2 linked regions of the Tribolium castaneum genome follow. The protein of the gene in region 2 interacts with the protein of the main gene of each other region in a biochemical or structural test. Links are inferred from orthologs where the notes say so. Each region holds a gene or a part of one and is shown on either strand. Other genes may lie near its edges. The genes, in order: epsilonCOP and alphaCOP.

Region 1 (3,200 bases), on a different chromosome or scaffold from region 2:
CTAGGGCTCCGTATAGTTATGTCGGTTCAGCTACTACTTTGAGACTTGGTTTAATTTTATTTTTTTCGAAGATTAAACAAAGATTTGACTAAAAACGCGTTTAAATCCTCACAACTTGCAAAAATAATCTCATTTTTCACATAATTCTGTGATTTATTGGCTTACTTTTTTAAAAAATTTGCGAGTTTTTGCTGAATAAACGCTTAGAAAAGGTAAATTCTTGGTCATTTTCGACCAAATTTGGTGACTGTTGTGTTCTAGTTTAATAAAAATAAGGAAAAAAGATTATTTTCGGTTTAAAATTCTCAAAACTTGCAAAAATAATGTCCTTTTTGACATAATTATGTGGTTTATTGGCTTACTTTTTAAGAAATTTGTTGAAAAAATCACCAATTTGAGTTTTATGGTGTACCAAACATTTAACAATAAATTCAACATTGGAATATTTAAGACGGTTATTGCTTGCAGAAAATGGAAATTAATTGTCTTATAGTTTAAAATGATGCCAAAAACAAAAAAGTAAGTACACATTTTTTCTATTTTGTACTTTGTAGCCGTATTTGGAACTTTCTTTTGCAATAACTGTTGTCACCGAATATTTTAATACTCCTGACTTATTTCAATTTTTTTAGTCATTTTTTTTTAATATCAACGGTTTCGGATTGTTTTGGGAAAAAACGAATTACGTTTATGGAATGTGGATGTATCATTGGGTTTAAATCAATAAAAACTATAATTGATTATGGGCTTTATTTTTCATGTAATACAATTAACTTAAACGTTATATAATTTTTTTACAGCAAATAATAACTTTTTCACACATTTTACGTCGGAATGGTTGAAACTGAAGGACCATACTGTTTACAAATCCTTGAAAATTCACTTTCTTTCTGTTTTAAGTCTCTAATGTATGGATGATCTGGTTGAGCGTCTTTCAACTGAGACAAATACCTACTTGCAATCTAAAACAAAGAAAATAATTAACAAAAAATGTTACAAACAATTTGACAATCAATTACTTCAGGCGTTTTCCCTGTATGTTTATGTAAAACGATAAGATTGATCAAAGTGTCTGGATAATTAGCATCTTTGTCTAAAGCCTCCTGTAGAGCAGCTTCCGCCTCCTCATACTTCCCCTGACCTAGAAGAGCCACAGCTTGGCCATTAAGCAGCAAAGGTGTAGCCCCATATTTTTCAACCAATTCCTGATAGATATAATAGGCGTCTTGCAGCTTTTCCCCACCCTGTAAAAAATATTTAACAACACAAATTAGTGGTTAATTATTAATAATTTTGCGACCTACACTCGCGTTATTGACCCACGCCTGTGCCAACTGCGTTAACGTGGCATCGTCGTCCTTCTCCTGCATTTCCTTCAACTTCTTCCTGGCCAAATCAACGCGATCAATCTTCAGCAAAATATCAATAATAAAAGCCAAAGCCTCCAAGCTTTCAGACGCGTGCAAAACGCGGTATGCCGTCTCTAGATTGTTCTGATTAACGTATATTGTCGCGGCCACAAGTGCAAGAGTGTCACTTTCGACGTTGGAGGCCAGCTTCTGGTCTATTTGGGCGACAATAGACTCGCGTTTTTGTTTGGAGGATAAATATTCAGCCAGGAGTCTTAAGGGCTGGATTTCCTCGGGTGAGGACGGCTTGATTTCGTCCAGCACTACCAGGAATTTGTTCTGGGCCATGTATGAGCGGTAGGTGAAAATGTCGCGTTGGATGGCCACCTCGGGGGTCGAGGGCTGGAAAAAATATTGAGCAAGCTAATTATGGAAAAGTGGTAAAAACCTTGCGCAGTTTTTGTGCCTCATTTATGCACTGCTGATAATTTCCAATGTAGTAGAAGTTTTTTATTTCAAATAATTCGTCGTCGTGTTGCTGACGCGACATCTTGAACGTCAAACTGACAGAAACTTAACCTTAAATGGGAACGAACTGGGCTTTTATGCTGTGTATATTGGCGGCCTTGCTGCTTAATAATTCGGAAATTCGTCAAACAAACGTACACAAAAATAAATTTTTTACTAAACTTAAGCTTCCTCCCAACTTGTGTGTCAATTAAAATAAAAAAACAGTTAAAAAACGTCTGTTTTTAATAAAAAAATCGTCCGTCTGGTGATTTATTTTTCTGACGTTGGTCGTGGTCAATTAAAGTTACTGGTCTTTAGTTTAAAAAAGTCGTGTTTTTGAAGCTTATTTGTTCTTTGTAAGATACAATTTGTTAAGTATAATCTTCACTTTTGAATAATTTTATTGTTTTAGCACAGAATGGCGTCATTCTCTGTGATAAATTTGCAAGGTTACGAAGCCATAATCCACGAGAAACTTTTCGCAAACATTAAGCAATTAACTTATGTTTATCCACCAACCCAAGACTTCCATGAGGTTTTCAGGGAAGATATGTTTAAAAAAAATAACAAGGCAGCCTTCCAACAAGTCACCAACTACCTTTTCAATGTCCTAAGTCCTGAGTTGACCAGAGAAAAGCTCAAATCCTGGCCCCCATACGACACCAAAGGAGAGCGAGAGTTTAGACAAGAGGTGGTGGCATTTGTTGATTACTTGAATGAAAATTACAAAGCGGCGAACATTCCTAAGCTAATGCCATCTCTTTTTGTTTCACCTGGTGGCATAAAGGTGGCCAAATTCATGTTTAAATTGTCGACGTTCGTCTTGCATGAGCATTTAAAAAAGAACATGAAAGAGGGCAAATTATTGTCTCCCATCAGACCTTGTAAAAATCCAGCCGTTAATGCAATAATTATAGAAAACTTGAATAGAACAACGTCAGTTATAAAAAAAAGAACGTCAGAAACTGCCACCAACTTCCACAAATTCTCGGCAGAGGCATTTGCAGAAGCCCAGCGAATTGTGGAGCAAGTGGAGAGGATTAAAAGACAGGAAATGGCCGAAGTCACCAAGGCGTTAGACGAAGAGAAAAAGAAAAATCTCGAATCAATTGATTTGGAAAAGTTGCAAGGAAAAATGGCACAAATGGAAAATATTAAAAGCATGTGTGAGAGAGCAAACGAGCTCCTGGATGTCATAATGAATGATAATCAACTGGAACTTGATAAAGAAAATACTCCCGACTTGGATTTGCTGCAGTTGTTCAATGATTTAAATGAGTTCCTTGAAAAGGAACGTTTCCAAATACCAACTTTGTTACAGGAAGATATGAAAGATATGGT
Region 2 (3,832 bases):
TTGACAATTCCTAATTGGTCATGAAGCAGCCGACAAGCCGATTCAAATGATCCAGCCATGACATGATCGGCCGCAAGTTGTGAATTTTTCGTCCATGCAAGTGTCGGGTTAGGCCCTTGAGTAGGCAAATGAACGAAACTTTCAGCTGACTGTTGCGTTTGCGACGGCCCCAAATCAGGAATTTCCAAATCGGCGTCTTCAACATCCCAACCACCTTCACCATCGGCTGGAGCCGCATCGTCAGACTTACGTTCGTTGTCCACGTCAATCTCCTCATCGTCGTCACCCCAACCACCGACCTCCTCATCCAAAGCCTCAGTGGAAGGTTCAACCATCAAACTTTTTATATTCGAACTGGCTTGGACCATTGCGTTAGTCTCGAAGAAGCTACGACTGACTGTCAACAGCGGCCAATTACTCTCAGCTTGTTGAATTGGAGGTGGAGGAATGAAGAATTTTGCATTGGGGTCCACATCGGGCACTTTTTTCTCATTTCCGATCAAAATTTTTAACTCTTCAGCTTCTTCCTCGTAGCCGTGAGTTGCAGCAGTTAAATACGCTAAAGACGTCAGGTTTGACTGCTTCAAAACTCTTATTCTTTCCTCAACATCACCAAGTAACAAAGCGCCATGATACTGCGAAGAGCGCGCTTTGCGAATCTCAGCAATTTTCGTCATTTTGCGCAACTTTTCCAAATTTCCGGTGATCAAATAAAGAAATGACAATTTCTCAAAGCTCTTGGTTCGTTGATAGCACATTTCAACCACTTGGTGGTTACCGTGCCACAAAGCGGTTTGTGCCAACTGCTCCCAGCAAAGTTTATCGTTTAAAGCTTTAGCCGCGTCTAGTGCTATCTCAATGTTACCGCATTCAAGAGCTAAAGTGAAACGAGTTTTGTCATCTTTGACAAAGTGCAAGGCCACTTCAGGGTAACCCTTTTGTTGCAAATACGAAATTATTGCTTGACCAACCAAACGCGAGTTTTTGACCATGAATAAGACTTCGTCGTAGCGGTGGTGAATCAGTGATAATTTAAACTTGTATTCTGTTGGATCAATTGTTAGGACACGAGGCTTGCATTCACGGTCCAAGCAAAAAACATGCTTTCCTTTAACTCGAGTGATGTAAATAGGCAAGTCGAGAGTACGAATGATCCCATGGTCCCTAAGTAAAACAGCAGAATTTAATTTTACATTAAAATTTTTTTATAGAAAAAAATTACCCATGGATCAAAGTGTATTTAATATGATTGCTAGTGGTGTAAATAAAAACACCCGAATCATCCCAAGCCCCTGACTTGACTCTTGTATTTTCGTGCAGGGAGCACAATACTTCCAACTTTCGGTTACAAATAGTAACTGTATGTTTAGCCAATAGTGCGATGAAATTCATATCGTGAGACCAAACAACATAGCGGCATTTGTTGATTTTAACTGAAATAATCACAATAGACTAAACGACAGTTACGATAGATGACTAATACCTTGATCTTGAGTCCGTTTCCTTTGAACATCAAACAAAGTCAGATGTTCCGGATCTCTCAGTAGTAGCATTCCAGTCCCAGCATAAAAAATCTCATCACACGGTGGCGTTTGCACCTTTTTGTGGACCTCATTTTTCAAATTTTTGATGACAAGTTGATGTGACCTGTCCAAGACGGCAAACCGATTTCGGGCGACCCAAATCGCTGTCAATCCTGATGATCTTTTGCTTTCGGCTTCCGGGACTTGATCATCACGGTCCGACTCTTTCGCGATCGTATACAAGTCGTAAGTGCTGTTATCCAAATTCGAAGACCGTATTGATAACAAGACGGCATTTTCGGCCGGGTTGAATGACATTCTAAAAACAGGAGTCTTGCCGCCACCTCTAATCTGAAGTACAGGAACGTCTTTCGACGTATTGAAATCAAGTTTGCGTAAATGGCGGTCTTTAACGTAGTAGAGGAAGTTTCTATGTACGGTGTATGCCGGTCTTTCACGCTCTAGTTTGAAAATGATCATGCCTGTATCATGACCGGCCGCAAATAAATTTAAATTGGGATGAGCTGTCAATACCCAGAACCGGTCATGTTCCCTTCGGAATGTATGCAAATAGTTGCGCTTGGCCATATCCCAAATCCGGATGCTTTTATCCTCACTGTTTGACAGAAGAAGTTCCTGACGAGGATGGAATAAAACGCACGAAACGTTATTGTAATGGCCACGGCATGTATCAACCTCCCAAGCTTTGGAATCATTCATTCTCCATAATTTAATTTGGCGGTCATCAGCCCCGGAAACAATGAGTGGTAAAGTAGGGTGGAAACATGCCCAATTTACTCCGCGATCATGCCCTTCGAGGACATGTTTGACAACGGCATCAGCTTGCCCAAACAAGTCGGTACTACCGGGATTTTTTAAATGGTCCTCCAAACCTCCGGGTCCAGGAGCAACATTCTTTTTCCGCAATCCTTAAAACAAAATTATAGAACGCGTTATAGAACGCTATCACATGATAAAATCTACCAGAAATGTCCCAAACGCGGACAGTCGAGTCGAGAGAAGCGGAAACAAGTAGGTCTTCAGAAGGGTGGAATTGCGCACACATGACGTAGTGATTGTGTCCGGTGAGGACGCAAATGCAAGTCCGACTTTGCCAATTCCATATGCGAATTGTTTGATCGTCGGAAGCCGAGACAATCCAAGGGTACTCATGATGGAACATTGTAGTACGAATGTAATCGAGGTGACCGAGAAGGGTGAAAATGCATCGTTTTTGTTTGTAATTCCACACCTAAACAGTATCGTTAGTTGTGAATTGGAATTTGATATTAAATCAAACGAATACTTTGATTTTATAATCGTCACCACCAGAGACGAACAATGGCTGCTGATTATGAAAACAAATGCCTCGGACAGGTCCATCGTGTTCGTCGAATTTTTCAAGTAAAGTACACATACGGTAATCCCAAAGTTGAATGGATCCATTATGCAAGCTGAATTAGAAAAAAGAAAAAAAAAACAATTTATTAAACGTTGCAAAATATTTAATTGTGGGTAAATCGTAAAAGGTCGAATTTAGTAATGTGATGATTTATGGAGCAAGAGGATATGTAAAATGTAGATCATTATTGTTTCATTATCTAAATAGTAAATTGCCAAATAAATCTGGTATTAGAGATGTGGTCTGGGCGTTGGCCATCTCGTGTTGTCCTATGATCTACAGAAGGAAAGGTCACTTTCTTCTCTTTCTTCATACTGTACTTCATCGATTTCCAAAAATTCTGTTACTTGAGCCACTTATCGGAAAAACAATAAAGAATAATAACCGCTTGCTCACCTTCTTTTACTATAAAATTAGCAACGATTTTAAAAACTAAAAAACTGTTACGAATAAAGTTTGATCGCTAGATAGGAAATATCAGTTGTCCTAACAACTTTATGAATAATTTGAAATATTATTTTTATGAAACAATGTAACGCATGAGTAACGGAAATTCATAAGTAGGCATAAACGTAACACTCAATTAAAACAAATTAATTATTTTGGACAATATCAGTGACACCTCGAATGTTTTTTACACAAGGTTAGACTCAAGCTAAAAAAAAGTTTTTGTAAAAATCGGGTTTTTTGTTTATATAAAACTCTAAATTACTACAATTATACATGATTAATAACCGTAAATATGAATGTAAACTTTTACCGATAAAAAAAGAGGAAAATTTTCGCGATAACTATCGCGGTGTAATGATTAATCAATGTTGCAATGACTAATTTTAGATCCACACTGATTTTGAGATCGATATCCAAAAAGCTGATTGTGGTGTTTAATCGGTAGGTACCCTCTAAT

The links.
Region 1: the proteins of alphaCOP (region 2) and epsilonCOP form a complex in vitro, tested with the Homo sapiens proteins (3 studies listed by BioGRID, with this or other methods). The link is inferred for Tribolium castaneum from reciprocal best matches to the Homo sapiens genes COPA and COPE.

Annotation. Positions count from the first base shown.
Region 1 is NC_087397.1:2,371,666-2,374,865, forward strand, and holds epsilonCOP (coatomer subunit epsilon), read right to left. Parts: upstream 1,959-3,200; 5' UTR 1,900-1,958; coding exon 1,798-1,899; intron 1,752-1,797; coding exon 1,305-1,751; intron 1,245-1,304; coding exon 1,020-1,244; intron 963-1,019; coding exon 825-962; 3' UTR 736-824; downstream 1-735. Other genes in the region: uncharacterized protein LOC103315197, read left to right, coding at 2,278-3,200. UniProt on the Homo sapiens protein: The coatomer is a cytosolic protein complex that binds to dilysine motifs and reversibly associates with Golgi non-clathrin-coated vesicles, which further mediate biosynthetic protein transport from the ER, via the Golgi up to the trans Golgi network.
Region 2 is NC_087403.1:711,395-715,226, forward strand, and holds part of alphaCOP (coatomer subunit alpha), read right to left. Parts: exon of another isoform or gene 3,819-3,832; intron 2,978-3,818; coding exon 2,830-2,977; intron 2,776-2,829; coding exon 2,508-2,775; intron 2,453-2,507; coding exon 1,484-2,452; intron 1,434-1,483; coding exon 1,223-1,433; intron 1,165-1,222; coding exon 1-1,164. UniProt on the Homo sapiens protein: The coatomer is a cytosolic protein complex that binds to dilysine motifs and reversibly associates with Golgi non-clathrin-coated vesicles, which further mediate biosynthetic protein transport from the ER, via the Golgi up to the trans Golgi network.